Linked DNA regions of Elephas maximus indicus. The protein of the gene in region 1 purifies or fractionates together with the protein of each later gene. This does not show direct contact. Links are inferred from orthologs where the notes say so. Each region holds a gene or a part of one and is shown in the gene's direction. Other genes may lie near its edges. The genes, in order: CORO1A, IFT57 and POC1A.

What was found.
Region 2: the proteins of CORO1A (region 1) and IFT57 purify together in Homo sapiens (affinity purification with mass spectrometry; 3 studies listed by BioGRID and IntAct, counting the BioPlex papers as one, with this or other methods). This does not show direct contact. The link is inferred for Elephas maximus indicus from reciprocal best matches to the Homo sapiens genes CORO1A and IFT57.
Region 3: the proteins of CORO1A (region 1) and POC1A purify together in Homo sapiens (affinity purification with mass spectrometry; 3 studies listed by BioGRID and IntAct, counting the BioPlex papers as one, with this or other methods). This does not show direct contact. The link is inferred for Elephas maximus indicus from reciprocal best matches to the Homo sapiens genes CORO1A and POC1A.

Annotation. Positions count from the first base shown.
Region 1 is NC_064830.1:89,072,831-89,080,468, reverse strand, and holds the start of CORO1A (coronin-1A), read left to right. Parts: upstream 1-4,617; 5' UTR 4,618-4,740; intron 4,741-6,376; 5' UTR 6,377-6,377; coding exon 6,378-6,575; intron 6,576-7,638. UniProt on the Homo sapiens protein: May be a crucial component of the cytoskeleton of highly motile cells, functioning both in the invagination of large pieces of plasma membrane, as well as in forming protrusions of the plasma membrane involved in cell locomotion.
Region 2 is NC_064836.1:80,387,001-80,395,003, reverse strand, and holds the start of IFT57 (intraflagellar transport protein 57 homolog), read left to right. Parts: upstream 1-4,986; 5' UTR 4,987-5,447; coding exon 5,448-5,794; intron 5,795-8,003. UniProt on the Homo sapiens protein: Required for the formation of cilia. Plays an indirect role in sonic hedgehog signaling, cilia being required for all activity of the hedgehog pathway.
Region 3 is NC_064838.1:56,371,132-56,378,176, reverse strand, and holds the start of POC1A (POC1 centriolar protein homolog A), read left to right. Parts: upstream 1-4,024; 5' UTR 4,025-4,330; coding exon 4,331-4,348; intron 4,349-7,045.

The DNA of each region.
Region 1 (7,638 bases):
TCGAGAAAAAAATCTAATGCTATGTAAGACATTTACAAAGAGAAGCAAAGCATTATTGTGGTGCAATGGATCACTTTTATGTGGTCTTTCCGTGCTCTTGTAACTCCCACCCAGTGATTGGGTGGGACTGTACAAATAAGGTAATTGTGGCCCACCAAGGGTATTGGTCAGTTTTGTCATCCTGCTAGGCTTACAAAGAGACAGTTCCAGAGAAGAGAGAGGATCCCACCACCACCAAGGCAGAACAGCCAGGAGTGGAGTGTGTCTTTTGGGCCCGGGATCCCTGCACTGAGAAGCTTCTGGAACCGGGAGATAGAGAGAAAGAGAGAGAGAGAGAAAAGGAGCTGTAGCACTGAAGACAGCAAGAAGCAGTGGCAGAGAAACGGCAGGAGAGACTTGGCAAGAGTGACGGTGCAGTGGGTTTCCTGGCCCACAGAGCGAGAAAGCTGAGTGCCTTTGGGCCGAGGCTTACTGGTGGAGTAGGGTGCCTCTGGCCACATTATTGGCAGAGCTAGAAGAGCTTTGTAACACTTGCCTGAGTAGGGCAGAGGCCAAGGGGCCAGAGAGAGGCATGCTTGCGAGCACAGCGGACGAGGCTGTCCTGATGGAAGAACTGTATCCTGAACGTTCCTGAGCCTGAATCGTAACCTCTTACTTCCCTAATAAACTCCATAATCATAAGTATTGTCTGTGAGTTCTGTGTGACCATTGCAATGAATTATTGAACCCAACAGACAAGTAGAGAGTACTGGGGGAGGGACAGTTGGTGTTAGAACCGGTAGAAGTGGTAGAGAGAGGAGGCATGTCTGACCTCTGCCTCACAGGAGTCAGCCTTTGGCTGTTGATCTTGATTCTCCTTCTTTGTGAAGTTAGGGGAGGTCAGATGCCCCTCCCATGCCATTTTGACAATTACATTGAAGGACATAAAAGACATAACATCTATGGAGAAATATACCACATTCATAGATGGACTATCATAAAGATGTCAATCCTTCCCAAATTAACCTATAAATTTAATGCAATTTTTATTGAACATGCGAAGAGATTTTTTTTTGAGAAGTCCTTACCTGTTAGAGGTAAATGCTGAAGTATTTAAGTTGAAATGCTATGAGGTATGGAATTTGTTTTACAATATTGGCCATGTGTTGATAATTATTCAAGCTGGGTGATGGGTGAAAGGGGGTTTCTTAAATACAATTCTTTCTATGCTGTGTATTTGAAAATGTCTAGAATAAAAGCTTAAAAATGTAATTAACTCAAAATTAAATGAACAGATAAAATAGAACCTTATTTCCACCAAAAACTAAAAAAATAAAAGAAACCTAACTCAAACTTAGTTAAGGGAAAAAAAAAAATTTATTGCTTTATGTAACTGAAAAGGGCTAGCTTCAAGTATGGCTGGATCCAGGGACTCTGACAGTGTTCTCAGGACTCTGTCTTTATGGTGACACCATGTGTGTCAGAGTATAACTGTGCTCCACAGGGTTTTCAGTGGCTGATTTTTTGGAAGTACATCACAGGGCCTTTCTTCTGAGGGCTTTCTGGATGGACTTTAACCTCCAACCCACCGGTTAACAGCCAAGCACATTAACTGTTTACACCCAGGGACTCCTCTTTTGCCTACAGCTCCACCTAAAGGCATGGAACTAAGTCTCAGGGCACTCTAGGCCAGGTGTGCTCTAAGGCAGAGATGTGTCTAATTAGTGTCTGATCCCCAGCACCAAGCACACTGCCTGGGACATAATAACCCGGTGAGCGGATGGATAGATGGGTGGATGAATGAATAAGAAAGGGTGGGAAATAACAGTCCCTTCCATATGTTTATACGGCACTTTACCGTTTGAAGGGCAGAAAGCCCCAAATGGAAGTGACTTCCCAAGGACAACATGTTACTTGCATGGTTCTAGGGCCAGGCTTTCTCCAGTTAGGACATCCGGGGAGAGGAGAAGTATGCCAACACAATAATGGGTGATTACTGGCACGAGGCATGGCATTTAATACACGTGGTCTCAATTAGTCTTTATATTATAGTGAGTATGATGGCGTACATTTTGTAAATGAGGAAACATCACTTGTTCAGGGGCAGCGAGGAGATGATAAAGCTAGGGTTTTCCAGGTCTGGCTGTCTCCATCAAACTCTACAGCCCCTTTAGGGTGGGACAGATCAGAGAAGGTCTTACAGGCATCGCTAAGGCGTTTGGATTTTATCCCATAGTTCACTATTTCAGTCAATTTTTACCACATGTATCTGGCACCTTGGACGATCCCCTGGTCCAGTGTCCCTCCCGGGTGAGTGTACCAGTCAGAACCCTTTCAGTTGCAAGTGCCAGGAATCCAGCTCAAACTGCTTTACACACACAAAAAGGAATTTATTGTCTTATGTAAGAGAAAGGGTAAGGGGATCAGGCACAGCTTGATCCAGATACTTGAATGATGTCACGAATATGTCAGCCTTTATATCTCGCCTCTGCAATCCTTGTATGGACTCATTCTGACAAGCTTTTCTTACATGGCGACAAGATGGCCATGACCAGTGCTGGGTTTCCAACATATCAGCTTACTAACCCCCAGTGGGAAGAAGGCTTCTTTTTCTTAGCAGGTCCGAGATAAGTCTGGTTCTGATTGTATAGACTTCAGTCATGTAGCCATCCCTGAACCAGCCAAAAAGGTTGCTTTGACTGGGTCAGTCTGCATCCTATGCTTACCCTGGATCCCCAACCAAACCTCACAGACTGCCTGTGAGGAAAGGCTGAGTCACCGAAGGAAAATGGTGGTGCTGCCACCAGTAAAGGGAAGTGTAAGAAAAGATGCTGGGCCAGCAACAAGAGAGGCTACCCTCAGGGACACCCACCCCAGCACACCCCACAGAAGGCATCAGCCCTTTCTTAAACACTCATAAGCCACGTGCCAGGGCCTCCACCACCTACCATTGGAGTAACTCTTGTGCTTCCCCATAACTTCCATGCGCTGGCCTTATGTCTGTCTTCTGGAGCAGCCCCAAATCTCTAAGGGTGGGACCCTGACTCATTTACCTCTACAACTCCTTGGACAAAGTAAGTACTCCAAGGTCTAGCCCCAGATCACCCAGCCAAGAAGTGGTGAACCAGCTCCTTGGTGTTCCTTTGCTCTGGCTGCCCCTCAGCCTAGAAGACTCTCTTCCTGTTGTATCTGTTGGCTCTTTCTCATCCTTCCAGGTCCAGCCCAAATGGTTCTGTAAACAATAATAATGATAAGAGCTAACATTTATTAAGCACTTGCTATGCTCCAGACACAGTGCTTATTGCTTTCCTTGGATAATTTTAGTTAATCATCTCCATAATCCTGAGAGGTAGATATATGACTCTGTTATTGAGGAAGAAACTGAGGCTGAAAAAGGCTGAGTAACCAAAGTTACTTTGTAGGTGTGACAGCCAGGAGTCAAACCCTCAAAACAATCTCATTCTAGAGTAGGCCCTTCCAGTCTCCTGTGCTGTTACCTCCAGGAGACCTCCTTTGAGCCCGAGTCAAATGAACTCCCTCCTCTTGATTCTCAAGCTGTGCCTTTGCCTCCATCTAGCACCCTTAGGAAACCCTGGTGGTGTAGTGCTTAAGTGCTATGGCTGCTAACCAAGAGGTCGCAGTTTGAATCCACCAGGCACTCCTTGGAAACTCTATGGGGCAGTTCTGCTCTGTCCTGTAGGGTCTCTATGAGAATTGACTCAAGTCAGTGGGTTTGGTTTGGTTTTGGTTTAGCACCCTTAGCGCTGTTACCAGCTTGTCCCTCCTCCACTAGAGCTCTTTAAAGGTGGGACCCTCAACTATTCACCTCTGCAGCTCCTTGCAAAGTAAAAAAAAAAACAAACCCATTGCCATCAAGTCAATTACGACTCACAGAGACTCTATAGGACAAAGTAGAACTGCCCCATAGGGTTTCCAAGGAGCGGCTGGTGAATTCGAACTGCTGACATTTTGGTTAGCAGCTGAACGCTTAACCACCGTGCCACAAAGTAGGTGCTCCAAAATTTCATTTGTTCCTCACCACAGACTTGTGAAGCAGGCAGGTCAAGTGATGAAGGAGACCCGTAGAGGTCAGGTGACTTTCCCAGGGCCACCTGTTTGTAAATTCAGGCTCAGATCAAGAACCCTGGTCCCCTGGGCCCAGGTCCAGTTGGCTCTCCCTTGTCCTGTCTCCCTACCCTCCCCGCGCCTCCTCCCCCCACCCCAGTCTGTGGGGTTGGGAAGGGGAAGGTGGAAGCAGCACAGCCTTAGCTGGGGGTGGGGTGGGGGCTCTTACAAAGGCCTGATCGAAGTGGGGGCGGGAGCTCTTACAAGTAACAGTGAAAGGATGGTGAGTAGGCTGGGGGTGGACTGAAGAGGGGAAGAAAGAACAGAGTATTTTTGCATTTTGACATTATAAAAAATTCAGATTAAAGTCCTAGCGACCATCCAACGGCAGCTGTTTTGGTTCGGAATTGGCAGCGTCAGGCACTGACTGAGGTTCTCCAAGGAGGGAAGGGAAGGGAGGCGGTGCTCGGGTCCCAGGCAGGCGGGCGGGCCCCTCCGGAGGAGGGAAGGGCTAGTCCCTTTAAGAGCTCCGCCCCAAAGGGGCACTGCCACCCCTAAGGAGGCGGGCGGTCGGCGGTTCTCATTCATTGTCTTGACAAGAGCATCCTCAGCGAGCCTCGAGCTCCTCCAGCTCCTTCCTCCTCCTCCTCTTCTTCCTCCTCCATCTGGGGGGTCACTCTCATCTCTTCGCAGCAGGTAAGGCTGGGACCTCTGGGGAAGAGGGAATGGGCTGGCTGGAGGGCTGGGCATTGCTGCCCTGGGCCACCTGTGGGGCAGGCGTAAGCGTGGGAGCCGTGGCTGTGGGGGTGGACAGACTGTCAGGGAGAGCTGGCTCTAACCGTCCCCACATGGAGGGCACTGGCCCTGAGTGTGGGCTGCGAGTGTGTGCATATCCATCTGTGTGTCTGGGGAGCTTTGAAGAGGTGAGGGTGTGGGACCACCACAGACAAGATGGAGGTGGGAGAACCCAGAGGGTCTGCAGCTCGAGCAGAGGAGTTCAGGACACATGTTGGCCTTGAGTCTTCCCAAAATGGGAGTCTGGGGGTGGGCAGAGGGTGAGGGGCAGGGTAGGGTGAGGAGAGCTGCTGTCCTGAGCTTAGAGACAGGAAGGGGTTGAGAGCAAAACAAGAAAAGACCAAGTTCCCCTTTTCATGGTTTCCGGGCCTGGTACCTGTGGTGAGGGAGGAGGCAGGATGGGGCCCTGGCTTCCTGCCCCCCAGCCTCTGATTTGGGGCTCCCCTCTCCCTAGGCCCAGGCCTGTCACCTGCGACTGACCCCGCCCCAGGCTGCTTCTCACACATGCTCCTCACCCCCACCCCCATGGGCAGCAGACCTAGCAGCCTCCTGAGGGTGTCATAGGGTGGGCAAGGAGGGCTGGAGCCCCATTGAGAAGGGCACAGGCCTGAGGGCAGAGAAAATGGGTGCAGCCAGCCGGGGGGAGGGTGGTGCAGAGGTGTTGGGGGTCCCTCGGAGGAGGCAACACGGGCCCTACACTGGGGAGGAAGGAGACGAGGTGGCGCCAGGACCAGCGCTGGAGCCTGGGGAATCCGGAGGCAATCCCCTCGGCTTCATGCGCTCTGCCTGGCCCCAGCTGGACGGCAGAGAAGCCAGCGCCAGCCTCTCCCTTCCTGCAGGGAGTTGCAGTGAGGGTGGAGATGGCCCTTCAAGGCACCTGCATTTTCTGAGTAAAGGCGGGAGGCAGAGGTGTGGGGGAGGAGGCCATACCGGGACTGGAGCCATCTGTCTGTGTTTGGTGCCCAGAGACCTCCTGGGGAAGCTGTCCTGCCACCTCATGCCCCTGGGCAAACCTTCACGCCACTGCCTCCTGTGTGTTCAGCCGTGTGCCAGGGGAGGGTGGGCCAGCCCCTGCCCCTGCCTTCTGGAAGCTCCCCATGTGGGTGCGAGGGATGTGAGGTCTAAGCATCGTGACCGTGACCGAGAAAGAACCATCCTCAAAACCGCCAGGGCTGAGGCCCCCAACACTGAACCATTAGAAAGAAAAGGCTGTCATCCACCAACAAATACGCACTAGGTTGCCTGCACCACACCATGCTCTGTGGACACAGAATTGAGGGGTGGCTTAGAGTGACCTGGCTGGGTGAAGGCAGGCCTTGCAGGTTAAACAGGAGTGAGGAGGGGGTGGGGAAGGCTAACAGTGGGGGTAGCGGGGTGCCCAAGAGGAGAGTAAGGGGCAGGAGCCCCAGGAGATGATGGTGGGGAAATGAGCTCATGGCTCCATGCTAGACTGAGGGGTGTCTTGGGAAAGGTAGGGGGCCAGGTAAGGTCAGAGTTGGCCTGAAGGGAGAAAAAGCCCCGACCTGTGTGTCCCTAGGATGAGCCGGCAGGTGGTCCGCTCCAGCAAGTTCCGCCATGTGTTCGGACAGCCAGCCAAGGCCGACCAGTGCTATGAGGATGTGCGGGTCTCACAGACCACCTGGGACAGTGGCTTCTGCGCCGTCAACCCCAAGTTTGTGGCCTTGATCTGTGAAGCCAGTGGGGGAGGGGCCTTCCTGGTGCTGCCCCTGGGCAAGGTGAGCCCCTGGCACCCTGGAGTAGCAGCTCCTCCACCAAAGGGTACCTCTAGCCATCCAATGGTCCCTGGGGTTCCTGATTGTCACCAAGCCTCTCTGGGCCTCAGTATTGTCATCTGTAAAATGGGGCTGGGCCAGATGAGCCTTAAGGTTCCTCTAGCTCGTACATGCGGTGGATATATGGAAATTGAGACTCAGAGGCAGGAGATGACATGAGAAGGGTCACACAGTGAGTCCATGCAGTTCCAGGGCCTGGTCTCCCAAGTCTCAGCCCAGGGCTTCCTCCGGTCAGGAGCACACAGTGGGCTGGGATGAGGGCTGGGCAGGCCCAGCACTGCTCTCAGGGGCTGGGAGTACCCTGAGTCTGGTCCTGCCTGAGTAACCAGGCTGAAGCCCCAGCCCCCAGCTCACAGGCATGGATGATGCAAGAGGCTTTCTCCCTTCCCCCAACCCTGCCCCCTCTGATCCTGCTCCCCCTTCCCCTGCTGTCCGCTGACCTCTGCTATCAGCACACTCCTATGCTCTTTGGAGGGTGAGACAGGAAGGGGAGATGGGCCCTAGGTTGTTACCTTAAAAGGGCCGATGGAGGCAAAGAGAAGAGGAAGTGGTTGTTGGGGTGAGAGCTGGGCCCGCACCCTGGGCGGCTCTGCACACAGGAAGCGCTGCTGCACGAGCTGTCCCCGGAAGTGGCCATTTCTAAACCTCTGCTCTTTCCTAGGGGCCAGTTATGACAGATCTCCCCAGCCCCTCTCCATCCCTGTAGCCCTACCATTCACACACACTTCTCTGCAGAACCTTAGCCCAACTCGACCCATCCTTCACACTGTACGCACACACACCTATACCAGGGGCAGGGCCTTGGCCTGTCTTACCCATGGAAGCCTCACCCCGACAGGAAAAGCTGGGGGCAGCCTGGAGACCAGAGAGTCCACTTGGTGCTGACTCTCAGGGCACAGATAAGAAACTGAGATAGAGATAAGAAACTTGACCAAGGTCACACAGCAAGCAGGAAAAGGACCCAGTGCCACCTGGTGCCAAGCCCACACCTCCATCCTGCGCTACC
Region 2 (8,003 bases), on another chromosome or scaffold:
CTCCAAAAAATTACCCTTGGTCAACAGGCATCATCTCATCTAGAGATGTCTGGGGCAGTCGACAGCCAATAACCAAGTAATGTAGGTACAAAGTCCAGCTCTCTTACCCCAAATTAGGACACGTTTTGTGGTGCCAGTCACACTCCAGAGCGCATCTCATGGTGCCAGAAATCCGTAGTGCACAATTTCGCATGAGTTTCACCACATCTTAGCAAGTAAACACAAGTAAGTCTGTGCCTATCTGGCTTACTGTAAGCCCATGAACATCTTGCTTACTGGTTAATCCAAACATTGTTGGTTGTCACAGTTGGGGGTGGGGGTGCTACTGACATCTACCAGGTGGAGGCCAGGGATGTTGCTAAACATCCCACAATGCACAGAAGAGCTCTCAACAACAAAGAATTATCAAGTCTACGATGTTAAAAATGCCAGCGTCAAGAAACCCTGAACTAAAACACACCTAAAACCCTTTAGCATGGCACAGGGGCCTAGAGACTAAACAACTGGCATTATATCTTCTTCAGTGTTTATAGATCCTTTATTCTACCTAAGTACAACATAGGTTAGTTTTTTTTTTCTTTAAAATTTGTTTTTTGCTTATTTCAAGAAATCCTTCCCTACCTTCAGATTAAAGATACTTTATTATATTTTTTCTAAACATCCAACAAATATTTCACATTCATATCTTTAATCCATATGCAATTTGTGTGATGAAAATCAGAGATGTAATTGATTCCATATGGATTGTCCATTGCTTCAACAGCATTCATTGGATAGTTTATCTCTCTCCACTAATCGGTAACACTGACTTTGTCATATACAGAGTCCCTACATAAACCTTCACCTATTTTCAGGCACTACATTTTCTCCTTATTTGTGTGATATCATTATTTTAAGTTATGCTGTTATTAGGAATCTTGCTATCAGATGTGGTGATCCCTTCCTCAAGCTTCGTTAAAATTTGCATATGGATTTCAGGATGAACCCACTAGGAATTCAAGTTGAAATTCCACTGAGTTTATAGATTGGGCAAAGATATTGATTTTCTTTCCATGAACATTATACCCCTATTTAGATTTTTCCATGACTTTCAATAAAGTTTAGTAATTTCTCCACAAAGATAATGATAGATTTACTCTTAGGTACTATATATGGTTTGTTATTGAGAGTTGTTTTCTTTCTTTTTTCCTAACTACTATTTCTAATAACTTTTCTTTAATTTGGATATCACATACAGCAATCTTGCTGTGCTGTCTTAGTAGCCTGTCTGCAGATTCTCTTGGATATTTTACTTAGTCAATCATATCAACTGCAATAGTTTTTTTTTCTTTTGTAATACCCCTATTTTTTAATTTTTTTTTTGTCTCTGTACACCGACTCTGATCTCTAGTACAGTTTTGAATTCAGAATGAATGTCTTCACCTTGATCTCAGCTCTAGAAGTCATGGCATCTAATGCGTCATATTTAAATATGACTTTTTTCCCCTAGATTTTTAGCAGACATTTTTTATTAGATTAGAGAAGCATTATTCAGTTAGTGGTTTTCTAAGTTTTTAAAGCCATGAATGAGTGGTACTAAGCCACTTTATAACACAAAGCAGCTTGGTTCTTTAAGCCTGCCCACTTTTCTTGGAGGACTTGTTCTTATATTTGGAGATGCAGCTTGAAAGCCTTCTTCAGTCTTTGAACCCATCTCCTTTTCGCCTCCAGCCTTGCTAAGTACTTTCAGAGAAATCTATTTAGCTTAAATAAACTTTCATCGGAATGCTGTTCAGTCAACTTTGAATGAGAAGTTATTCCATTTTCAGAGATTAGGCCATTCACTGGAAGACACTGAGGGCCTCAAAATCACCTCTGGTCATCTTATAGATAGTTTGCAAAAGATCAAAGTCAAAAGCCCAGCTATGAACTGTGGTAACACAGTAGAGCCAGGGATAAATCTCTCTTAAGATCCTTTAAAGGCAGCATGAACATACTTCGACATTACATTCTCTTCAAGTCCTCACTCCTTTGTCAATGCATTTCAGAGCCAGTCCTGTAAAAAAAAAAAAAAAAAAAAAACTAACACAAAGGTACTCAAAAGTTTCCAAGTGGCTCAGACAGGATTTGAGTGTGGGTTTGCTCACATACGTGAAGGATACTACTTCCATCAAGGAAAAGACCTTTTGGTGTGTTATCGACTATTTATTGTGGGTAACTAAGGAATCAGGAAAAATTACTCCTGAGACTTATAAAAATAAAATGACATTTTACTGTTCTTCCCCACATTTTTGCTGTGGGAAAACACAGTGTTCAAAAGTTGGCTTTTCTTTTATTTCTTTCATTCTCTCTGTGCTCCCACAGTTACTGAAAAAGCAAACCAAACCCATTGCCATCGAATCAATTCAGACTCATAGCAACCTTATAGGACAGAGTAGAACTGCCCTATAGGGTTTCCAAGGAGCAGCTGGTGGATCTGAACTGCTGGCCTTTTGTTTAACAGCCAAGCTCTTAACCAGTGCACCACCAGGGCTCCACTACAGTTATTGGGGACATTTTGTTTTAGTGTTGTTGCTTTTTTTCTTTTTAAGACTAAATTAAAAAGGGAAGAATAATTCTTCAAACAGCTTTCAAGCCAGGCTAAGTCAATATTGTACCTGAGAAGGAAACAGCTAGGTTCTAGGAGAGTCTCCCCACCCCATGAAAGTACATTCATCATTTTTGGAGAGTTCTCATCAGCCAAAAAGCAATGCTTGACTACTTCACACTACATGCTATACAAGTCCTGAAAACATCAGAGCATCTTATGCAGGCATCATGCTCCAGGTGGACATCCATTTTCCTAGGTGTAACCTATTTACCGTTTGACTTCTGACACCTTTTTCAAAGTCATTTTAAAAGCCACAGGCTGCTTGACCGAACACCCCAAAGTATGTATCTCAGCTTTTACTGATTTCTTTTTCATCCTAAAAAGCTATATCCAGCTGTTTTGTGCTCTGAAAGTTATACACGCATACCACAACACACTACACTTCCCAAACATGTGGTAGTGGGGATGTATGGGGAAGAATCACTCCTTCCACAGGGCTAAGAAAAAGAAAGACCAGTTTGACAGTGGGATAGAGTCAAACCCAACTTTCGTGCTTATTTTTATTTTAAAAAAGCTGATTAATGACTCATCATGGAAACAATGTTATTTAAAAAGCATTTCTCAGTTGGCCTTCCCTTTTGAGTTACTTTCTACATAGGTCAGTTTTATGGTGTTTTTTTTTTTTTTTCTTTTCCTCTTTGTATTTCCTCTCTTTCGTAACTAGGAAAAGGTATTTGCCTTTATGATTTTTCACTTTGATACTTTTATCAGTATCAAATTCGTGAGCTCTAGATGGATATTAAAATGAAAGTGCTCTTCTGCTCATTTCGTCTACCAACAACAATTACAGGCACATTTAAAACTTCAGCTATGTCAAAAAGTGCGACTCTTCTATATATTCACTGGCAGATACAAGAGATCAGAGATCCCTCACATTAAACACAAAACTCGTGTTCAATCTGGTAAGTTTTCATCCCTCAGGAAACCTCCGGGCATCTACCAATTACCTCATACTTTCGGTGACCCATTAAAAACCCATTGCCATCAAGTCAATTCTGACTCATAGCGACCCTATAGGACAGCTGTTAGGAAAGCTGCTCCATACACAGGCTGCCGAGCACTGGAAAGCCGGTCCATATAGTGGTCAGTTAGTCCCCTTTCTTGCATGTATATTTTAGGTCAATAGCAAGTAACAAGTACCACCTGGTCTTTAGCCGCATTTAGCGCTATAACCAAAAAACCAAACCCGTTGCAGTGGAGTGGATTCCGACCCTACAGGACAGGGTAGAACGGCCCCATAGAGTTTCCAAAGAGCGCCTGGCAGATTTGAACCGCCGACCTTTACATTAGCAGCCGTCGCACTGAACCACTACGCCACCAGGGCTCCCTTTAAGACTACAGCGCAGGGAGATTCTTGCAAGATAATCTCCTTTATTTTGTTGGTGTTGACAAGGTACCCCAAAGCTGCATGCTGCATGTAATGGGCTTAAACCACTGGGCAGCGGGCTGAGCGGAGCGTGGTTTTGGGAGCAGAACGAACGCTCCCGAGGTCCCCGTTTTGCTCGTCGTCTCGGTCTGTCCTCTTCCACCGCCTCCCCAGCAAGCCCCTTCCGAGCACTCGGGTGGCGATGGGCCTTTCGTCACGTATTATAACACGCCGTTAAATCAAATAAACCACTGCCTCACAAGGTAGAGGTTAAGTTTTTTAAGAAGACTCTCTCTTTGAAAATTCCTGCGATAAAGTGAAACCTACAATATCGACTGCCTTGAAAACTTTCAATATTGAGAAGAAAAAAAAAAATCAGCGGGATAGCGAAGTTATCAACACTAAGCCTCTCGGTCTCCCTTTCATCTTGCCCACCAGCAGGCCCAGGCGCCGGCCCCGCGGCCCTTAGCAACCAGCCGGGCACGAAGCCCCGCCCCCAGGGAGGCTGAGACTCAGGAACGCGGGCGGCCCTTAGCAACCAGCCGGGCACGAAGCCCCGCCCCCGGAGAGGCTGAGACTCAGGAACGCGGGCGGCCCTTAGCAACCAGCCGGGCACGAAGCCCCGCCCCCGGGGAGGCTGAGACTCAGGAATGCGGGCCAACCTTAGCAACCAGCCGGGCACGAAGCCCCGCCCCCGGGGAGGCTGAGACTCAGGAACGCCGGCGGTCCTTAGCAACCAGCCGGGCACGAAGCCCCGCCCCCGGGGAGGCTGAGACTCAGGAATGCGGGCCAACCTTAGCAACCAGCCGGGCACGAAGCCCCGCCCCCGGGGAGGCTGAGACTCAGGAACGCCGGCGGTCCTTAGCAACCAGCCGGGCACGAAGCACCGCCCCCGGGGAGGCTGAGACTCAGGAACGCAGGCGGCCCTTAGCAACCAGCCGGGCACGAAGCACCGCCCCCGGGGAGGCTGAGACTCAGGAACGCGGGCCGCCCTTAGCAACCAGCCGGGCAAGCCGGGGCCCCCCCGCCAGGGGAGGCTGAGACTCAGGAACGCGGGCGGCCCCGCCCCCTGAGAGGCCGAGAGGAACGCGGGCGGCCCTTTGCAACCAGTCGGGCAAGCGGCCCCGCCCCCGGAGAGGCTGAGACTCAGGAACACGGGCGGCCCCGCCCCCGGAGAGGCTGAAAGGAACGCGGGCGGCCCTTAGCAAACAGCCGGGCAAGAAGCCCCGCCCCCGGGGAGGCTGAGACGAACGCGGGCGGCCCCGCCCCGCCTTTAAGCCGCCGCGGGAAGAGGCGCGGCCGGACGTGGGGCACGGAACGCCACGCCTCCAGGGGCGGGGCTGCCTCCGAGCCACCTCCTCCCTGCCGTCGGAGGGGCGGGGTCCGTGGTGACGTCACCTGGAAGGCCCGCCCCGGTTGGAGGGAATTTAGAAGTGACGCGGAGGTTCCGGGATGGAGGCGGAGTCTAGTTTCCCTGGTGACGAGTTGCCCGATGGTCGCCTAGCAACGGGAGGCGGCGGTCCTGGCGGCCGCTGCGCGGGCGGCGGAGGCCGGAGCCCTCGCCGGAGTCTCTCTGTCTGTCCTGCGATGGCTGCCGCCGCCGCGGTGGTCACGCCGTCGGGCCTGGAGGACGGGGTATCTCGGCCTTGCGGCGAAGGAGCCGGAGAGGTGGCCGTGGAGCGCGGGCCCGGCGCGGCCTACCACATGTTCGTGGTGATGGAGGACCTGCTGGAGAAGCTGAAGCTGCTCCGCTATGAGGAGGAAGTCCTGCGGAAGGACAGCCTGAAGCCCCCGTCCAGGTGGGTCCCTTCGCCCCGGGCGCCTGGGTGCCGGCCGGGCCCCGGGGAGGTGCCTTCCCCGTCGGGCCTGCTTCGGGCGCCGAGCGGGTCCGCGAGCCCTGCCTCCACCTTCCGGCCGGAGCGCGCGCGGGCAGTCACCCCGAAGCTGGCGGCCGAGGGCCCCGACTTGGCATTTTTGTGGAGCAACAGGTTTGGGAGCGGCAGGAAGGACTGGGAGACAGCCTTCCTGTTTAAAACATACACAGGCACCTCCAAAAAACGCAGGCTGTGTTTTACGGTTCTAAAAGGAATAAAAACATCCACTCTAGATAACTTAGAAAAGCACAAGAAACTGTGTGTAGAAAAATACTAAAATCACCCATAGTGTCGTCCCCAGAGACGGGTGCTGTTACCGTTCCGATCTCTGTCCAGTATTTGTTGTCCTCTCTGAGAACCGGCCCCTCCTACTACCTTGCTGAGCACTTTGTTTGCAGTTAGTGAGCTTGTTGACTGACTGCTGTGGTACTCTCAGAAACCGAAAGTGGGAAAGACAAAGAAAACGACAACCCCTGGAATTGTCCCCGTACCCTAGAACCTAAAGTTCAGCCCTTACTCTTGGTGGGCAAAGTTCGTCACATCCTGAAGGCAGTGCCGTTAGCTGCTGAAGGGAACGGACGGGAGCACTTTATCCTCCAATCGGGGTAGCCTGGCTGTGGCCCGACAAGAACGTTTTATAGCTTTGTCATCACGTTAGAGCTCACAGGTGTTTATCTTGTTGTATAACAGGTAGATTAGGAATCTTTAGCACTTCCTCTTAATACCTATAGGTAAACTCAAATAATTTCCCTTGACAGTTTCCATCTCATTCTTCTGCTCTCTTAGGACGCTTAATCCCCTTGACTGCACGGCAAGTGCTTTTCTTGGTTCATGCTAGGTAGGCTGGATGGGTACTGTCGATATTGCTAAGTCAGCTCTTAACGGCAGAAAAGTAGAGGGAAAAGAAGCAGTGTTGCTTGATCTATGATTTAAATTGTGGGATTGGGAGTTACTAGAATGAATTGATCAGGTTAATATAGACAGCTTATATTTTCTGTTAATCAAAATGATAACTTTTTTTTTTCCAAGTATATTTTTGAAGCTAAAGGAAAATGACCTCAAGATTTCTGTTGCTGTCAGCTCTGTACGGTTTCCTCAGGGGTTCAGCAGGATACTTTGAATCATGGATCCAAGCGGAGATACCCTAGTTCAGTGGCTCTAAAGTGAGGCCACCAGACCAGCAGCATCAGTCTCACTTGGGAACTTACTAGAAACGCACTTTCTCAGACCTGTTCCCAAGTCTACGGCATCAGAAATTCCGGCGGTGGCACCTAGCGGTCTGTTTTAACAAGCCTTCCAGGTCGTCCTGGTGTACACTTAAGTCTGAGAACCACTGACCTAGGCCTATCAGTACCTATTCTCTGTCCTCGAGGGATTATCCTGTAAGGAAAAGATGAGTTGTTGGTGGGTGGGTGCTTTGAAAGGGTTGTAAACACATACCTGGAAGGGCTTCATGCCCCCCCCCCCCCGCCCCGCTGCCCGGCTTTTTTTTTTTTCTCAACTATATGTTACCATTCAGAGCATTTACACCTATCGCAGGACAAAAAGTTGGGGAAACATGAAGAAGCAGGCTGCTGATTGTTATGAAAAGTGGCAATGATAACTATGATATAAACATAATAGTAATAGCTACAAATAAAAAAAGCAAATTAAGATTTTTGATCAAACTGACTCAAATGTTGTTGCTAACATGTTTTGTTCCACACATATTTAGGTGTAAATTATATTGATCTTCGTAGGACTGTTTTCAGTCGGCTAGGAGATTTAGCAAATTTCAACAAATGTTTGTTAGAGTGAGAATGAACTTCTTAAGCCTCTCTGTACCTTAGAACCATCTAGCGAGCTTTTAAAATACTGGGGCTCTGCTCCCAAAAGCTCTGATTTGATGCATTGATGAGGGAAGAGGCAATGTTTGGATGGGCATCAATATTTTTTATGGTCTCCTCAGGTGATTCAAAGGAGCCCAGTAGCACAGTGGTTAAGCACTCACTTGCTAACTGAAAGGTTGGAGGTTCAAACCACCAGCTGCTCCACGGAAGAAAGATGTGGCAGTCTGCTTCCATAAAGATTACAGCCTTGGAAACCCTATGGGGCAGTTCTCTTCTGTGTTGTAGGGTCGCTAGGAGTCTGAATC
Region 3 (7,045 bases), on another chromosome or scaffold:
AAAGAGACAAGTCCAGGATGTCAGATGGCAATAATTCCCCGGAAGAAATACAGACGGGAAAGGGTGAGTGGTGAGCTGACATTTTACATAGGGTAGTCTGGGAAAGCCACGCTGAGAAGATGGCATCTGAATAAAGACCTGATGGAAGGGAGGAACTGAGTTAAGTGGACACTGGGCCAACAGCCAGTTCAAGAGTCCTGAGGTGGGAGTGTGCTTGGCACATTCTCGTTCAAGGAACAGCAGAAAGGCCAATGTGGCTGGGGCAGAGAGAGCCAGGGAGAGTGGTGGGAGCCAACGCAGAGAGAGCCAGGCCAGATCACTGGAGCAATGGAGGGACGTGATGTGACTGAGGTTGTAGTAAGAAGCCACATGTATTAGGTGACAACTCAACATCAAGCTCTGGCATGAATTTATAGCTCACGGAATCCTCTCTCCTCCACTGTGGAAAACATATTATGCCTGTTTTACAAACGACGACACTGAGGCTCAGGGAGGTGAGGTGACTCCTCCTAGGTCACCCAGCTCAGAGGTGGCAGGGTCTGGATTCACCCCCAGATCTGTCTGACCCTGGGACAAGCCCTGGGCTGCTCTGCTTAGAGTTTCCAACAGTAGTGCATCAGTAGTGCGGGGCAGACTTGATGGCCTTGATGGGGCTTTCCAGGCAGGGAGGATTCCAGATCGGGGTTTACCAGGTTGGGCTGGGCTAGGCCAGCGGGGATCACCCTGTCCTTCCTCCTCTTTTCTCTGCCATCCCAGAGTGACCTTGGCCCTTGGGCTGGGGGCTGGGGAGTGATGACAGGGCTAGAGGCTCTTGTAGGAGGCCTGCTGATGGGCTTTGCAACAGGAAGGGCACATCCTTGCCATGAAGGGTCTTGAAAAAGAAGCTCCCTTCTCACCCCCCACCATGGAGCATCCTCAACATTGAGTCCCCCAAACATGAAGGCCACGGTTAGAACTACAGTCTAACCTGATGGAGGTAGCACTTGGGTGGGGGGACACTGCCCTGTCAGAAAGTATAGGCACTGATCTTGGTTTATAAAGGTTGTACCAGTGTAGATCCTGGATTGTCTATGCGGCGTTGGCAAAGTCAGCCTCTTTGCAATTGTTGGCAAAGAAATGAACAAGATGGGGGGTAATAGAATCACGAGCTCCTTCTCCCTGGTAGGTAAGGGTACAAGACAGTGTGGTCTGGAAAGACGAGGGAGGGTGAGGAAAATCTTCCAGTGCCTCTCACTTTGAGCAAACCTGACATTTGAAAATCATTTTACAGAAGAATTTCTTTAAATTCACCTTTCTAATTTATGAGTTCCTATAGGGCATGTGTTATAGGTTGAATTGTGTCCCCCCAAAATATGTGTCAACTTGGCTAAGGCATGATTCCCAATATTGTGTGATTGTCCACTGTTTTGTAATCTGATGTGATTTCCCTACATGTTGTAAATGCTACCTCTGTGATGTTAATGAGGCAGGATTAGAGCCAGTTATGTTAATGAAGCAGAACTTTTGAGATATAAAAGAGAAGAGAGCAGAAAGACATGGGGACCTCATACCACCAAGAAATAAGAACCAGGAGAACATGCAACCTTTGGACCTGGGGTCCCTGCACTGAGAAACTCCTAGACCCAGGGAAAGATTAATGACAAGGACATTTTCCCAGAGCAGCCAGAGAGAGAAAGCCTTCCCCTGAAGCTGGCACCCTGAATTTGGACTTCTAGCCTCCTAGACTGAGAGAATAAATTTCTCTTTGTTAAAGCATCCACTTGTGGTATTTCTGTTGCAGCAGCACTAGGTGACTAAGATAATATGGGTGTGCCACAGGAACAACTGACAAAAACAAGACAAAATACCACCTAACGACAAAAGAACCCTTAAGTTTAACTGATTAGATTTTTTCTGTACTGTATATAGATTTTTTTCTTCCTTAACTTCCCCCCTTAAATGTTTGGCTGGCAGGCAAGAGAACATCTGAATAAGATGCCAATGTTGGTGGGAAGGCTCGAAAACTGTCCTTTGAGCAGCAGTGAACAGTTTTGGGGTGTGTGTGAGTGAACAGGTGTGCGTGTAGTTGTTTTATGGGGAGTTTCATAGTAGCCAAACATTTCTACGCCAAATCACAGGGAAGATGAGATTAAATGTACCTGTACTTCTTATGGAAACCCTGGTGGTGTAGTGGTTAAGGGCTATGGCTGCTAACCAAAGGGTTGGCAGTTTGAATCCGCCAGGCGCTCCTTGGAAACTCTATGGGGCAGTTCTACTCCGTCCTATAGGGTCGCTAGGAGTTGGAATCAACTCGACGGCATTGGGTTTGGGTGCTTCTTATATCTGGCCCCAGATTTTCCAGAGTCGAATGAGATACCTGCTGCTCCACATACAGCTGCCCCCAGTGCAGGTTCTGAGTTTACAGAACCAGGCTCTGGTTTGCAGGGGCAGGGACACCATCTCAGCATGCAGTAATAAACCTAAGGGCGTGCCAGATGCTTATCAGTGGTGGAGTCTGGCCAACCTGATCTGCCCAGAGGAGGTGATGGAAGGTTCCAGAATCTTGTAAAACATCCGGTCCAGGTCAGCTTCAGGTAGGGAATGTGCCCGGAGTGAGGCCTACCCAGAACCCAGGCCCAGTGTCATAGAGTCGAAGGAGTGAGGCCTAGTAAAGGAAAAGTCTGGGCCGGCCTGCCGAAGTAGAAAGTGAGCAGGGGCGGGCTCTGGTGGCAGGCCCCTGGATTGCCTTCTTCCTTCATTTAAACATCAGAAGGGAGAAGGACATCATGCTTGGTAAAATAGTGGGTCCTCGAAAAAGAGCAAGACCCTCAACAAGATGGATTGACACCGTGGCTGCAACAATAAGCTTAGACATAGCAACAATTGTGAGGATGGCACAGGACTGGGCAGTGTTTTGTTCCGTGAGACATAGGGTCGCTATGAGTTGGAACTGACTTGATGACACGTAACAACAGCAACAATAATTTATCATAGCTCCTCAGGTCTGACAGGTTCCTGGGTGGCCCAAACGGTTTGCACTCCGCTTCTAACCTACAGGTTGGTCTGTTAGAATCCACCCAGCGGCGCTGCAGATGAACGGCCTGACAATGAGCTTCTGTAAAAGATTATAGCCAAGAAAATCCTCCGGAACAGTTCTACCCTGAAACACGTGGAATCACCATGAGTTGGAATGGATTTGAGGGCAAGCGGTTTTCTCAGGTCTAAAGGCTCATGAGTCCGAATCGACTCGATGGCAACGGGCTCGCGTTTTGAAAGGCTCCTTAGAGGGTCAGGCCATATCACATGCCCTCATACTACAAATGGGGATACTGAAGCCCAGAGAGCAGATGAGGTTTTCCTAAAGTCACACAACGAAGCAAGAAGTGGAATCGGAACCAGGGCTTCGAACCAGTTCATTCCAGTTCTAACCCCTGCTGAGATTTGCTGTATACAAGTTCCGAGGCCTTGCTACGGCTGCTGGTTAGGGGCCAATTCTGTCCTCAAAATTTATTATACATAAGACTCACCTGGGGATCTTGTTAAAATGTAAATTCTGATTCAGTACATTTGTGGTGGAAATGTAAATTCTTCCAGGGGTTCAAACCGAACAGGTTTTAAGTCCAGATCAGAACCCAAGTCACTCTCATTCCATGGATGTACTTCCGAGGGACTTGTGCTCTTTTAAATCAACCCTTGTTTTACGCGCGTTAGGACAGGCGAACGATTTAAAGAGTTCCGGAGGGGCGAATAATTGGTTCTTTCAAGGGAATCTTGCCGAAAAACCAGCTGCGCCTGTGCGCATTGGTGCTTTAAGACAACACTAACACGGCGGCCACGTGTCCTCCACTTCCGGGACCCTTAAGGCCCTCGCTTGGGGTCTCGAAACCCGGCCCTTACCTCATGGCATCTCGGGAAATGTAGTTCCTCCTTTCTCCAGACAGGATAATGCGGGGCGGCTTGGAACTGCATTTCCCAGAAGACTCTGCTCGCCGGCATGGCAGCAGGGCAACAGGCAGGTGGGGAAAGTTGTCTTCCTGAGCTTTTTTAATTTTTGTGGAGAAATGAGCAACAGCGGACAGAAGCCTCTAGCAGCGCCTTGTGTGGGCTGTCTGGTCTGGCGCAACTGGGCGGAGGGCGCCGAGACCACGGAGCTGGCAATATAGCGCTGCTTCCGGTCGGGGGACAAAAATCTGCGGGCCGCCTCTCCTTTAATTGCAGTAGGCGGGGAGCGGTGGCGCGACCCGCGTTGCTATTGGCGGCGGTTGGGGGCGCGGAAACTGAACGGGCCGCAACGGCTGCTGCCGCTGCTTCTTAGAGCTCTCGGGGCTCCTCGGGCGACCCCAGCCCGGCGATGGCTATACCCTGCCCGGTAAGTCTCTGCTGGCAGCGGCGGGCGCCCGGTCTTAGTCTCCTCGCTGGGGCAGCGGGCGCCTGGCCAGCGTGATGGCTGCGAGAGAAGCGGATGGGGCGCCGGGTTCCGGGCCGATCCTCTCTTACCTCAGTTTACCCATTTGTGCAGGGAGCGCAGAGTCGGGACACTTACTGAGCGCCTCCTTCGTACCAGGCCCTGTGCAGGGCCGCTGGGGCGAAGAAACCAGTCCATGTCCCAGGGTTTGCATTCTAGTGGGGGATAGCCCGACTCGAGGTGTGACCTGGGGCCAGCGTCGGGCTTCACTGGCCTCAGTATCTCCATCTTGAGCAGTGGGTGGCTGGATGGGGGCCTTGTTGAGGACACGTCCAGCTCGACAGGAGGGAACAGCGGGCAGCTGGGATGCCTGGATTGGCCATCCTCTCTGAGTCCCAGGCTCAGAAAAGCCCCCTTCTTTTTGCGGGTTGTTTTGAACCAGCCTGGCCCTTTGTCTGGGTGGAGAGTCAGGGAGGCTGGGTGGCAGCCTGTGGCCTCCTTCGGTGTCTGGGGATTTGGGCAGAGGGCCCAGACTAAGATCCAGGCCTTTTGACCACTAATTTGGTGCCCCCCCCACACTTGAATAAACCACTGGATTGGGGGAGACGAGGCTGGCCTATGGGGAACACAGAACCTGTGGGATTAAGGGAGGGGGGCTTGAGGGAGGCTTCAAGGGCCCCCAAGTCAGCGGTGCACCTGAACTTGCCTCTGTGCACTGAGCCTAGAGGTGGACACTGTCTTGCTCTTGTTCTTCCAAGAAGCTCAGGTGACAGCTCGGTGGTCATGAGGCAGTTACTTACTACTATTTTGTGGGGGCCCCAACTGCCATTGCCTCTTGTTGAAAAGGGACTTAGGCAGGTGTGTTGGGGGTGCAGCTGGGCACAGCTCTGTGGGGTGGTGGCCGCCTTGGTCTACCCCAAGGGCATCCTTTCCCAAGAGGAGGGCTTGCTGAGCTCCCTGGGGACACCCAAGATACTTCTTTGAGGTTTCTGATGTTTGGGGTGGTGGGACATGTTTTGATGGCTGAGTCAGGAGCTCTGTGTCTCTGGAGAAATTCCCCAGAATATTCTCGCCTTTGTCTGCCAAAGCAGTGCCTGAATGGCCCTACTGCTCTCTGATGTTGTTTAAGTGGCGGCGGCGGCGGCAGCTGTGGTGATGTCACTACGGGCCTGTCCAGGCGTAGCTGATGTTATTGATTGAATTGTGTTTCCCCAAAATGTGTGCCAACTGGGCTGGGCCATGTTTCCCAGTATTGAGTGATTGTCCACCATTTTGTCGTCTGATGTGATTTTCCTACATGTTGTAAATCCTACCTCTATGATGTTAATGAGGCAGGGTTAGAGGTAGTTATGTTAATGAGGCAGGACTCACTCTGCAAGATTAGGTTTTATTTATGATTTTTTATTGTGCTTTAAGTGAAAGTTTACAAATCAAGTCAGTCTTTTACACAAAAATTTATATACACCTTTTTATGTACTCCTAGTTGCTCTCCCCCTAATGAGATAGCACACTCCTTTCCATCCTGTATTCCCTGTGTCCATTCAGCCAGCCTCTGTCCTCTGCCTTCTCATCTCCCCTCCACACAGGAACTGCCCACATGATCTCGTGTGTCTACTTGAGCCAAGAAGCTCACTCCTCACCAGTATCATTTTCTATCTTACAGTCTAGTCTAATTCCTGTCTGAAGAGTTGGCTTTGGGAATGGTTCCAGTCTTGGGTTAACATAAGGTCTGGGAACCATGACCTCCGGGGTCCTTCTGGTGTCAGAGCATTAAGTCTGGTCTTTTTACGAGAATTTGAGGTCTGCATCCCACTGCTCTCCTGCTCCATCAGGGATTCTCTATTGTGTTCCCTATCAGGACAGTCATTGGTTGTAGCCGGGGACCATCTAGTTCTTCCGGTCTCAGGCTGATGTAGTCTCTGATTTATGTGGCCCTTTCTGTGTCTTGGGCTCATAGTTAACCTTGTATCTTTGGTGTTCTTCATTCTTCTTTGCTCCAGGTAGGTTGAGACCAAGTGATGCATCTTAGATGGCCGCTTGCTAGCGTTTAAGACCTCAGACGCCACTCACCAAAGTGGGGTGCAGAATGTTTTCTTAGTAGATCTTATTGTGCCACTTGACCTAGCTGTCCCCTGAAACCATGATCCCCAGACCCCTGCCCCTGCTACTCTTGCTTTTGAAGCTTTTGGCTTATTCAGGAAACTTGTCTGCTTTTGGTTTTGTCCAGTTGTGCTGACCTCTCCTATACTCTGTGTTGTCTTTCCCTTCACCTAAAATAGTTCTTGTCTACTATCTAATTAGTGAATACCCTTTCCCTCCCTCCCTCCCCATCAAAGAATATTTTCTTCTGTGTTTAAACTATTTCTTGAGTTCTTATAATAGTGGTCACAAACAATATTTGTCCTTTTGCAACTGACTAATTTCACTCAGCATAATGCCTTCCAGATTCCTCCATGTTGTGAAATGTTTCATGGATTCATCATTGTTCTTTACTGATGCATAGTATTCCACTGTGTGAATATATTAGGTTGTATTTTGAGTCAAACTCTTTTGAGATATAAAAGAAAATCAACTAGAGAGACAGGGGACCTCATACTACCAAGAAAGTAGTGCCAGGAGCAGAGCAGTCCTTTGGACTCGGGGTCCCTGAACTGAGAAGCT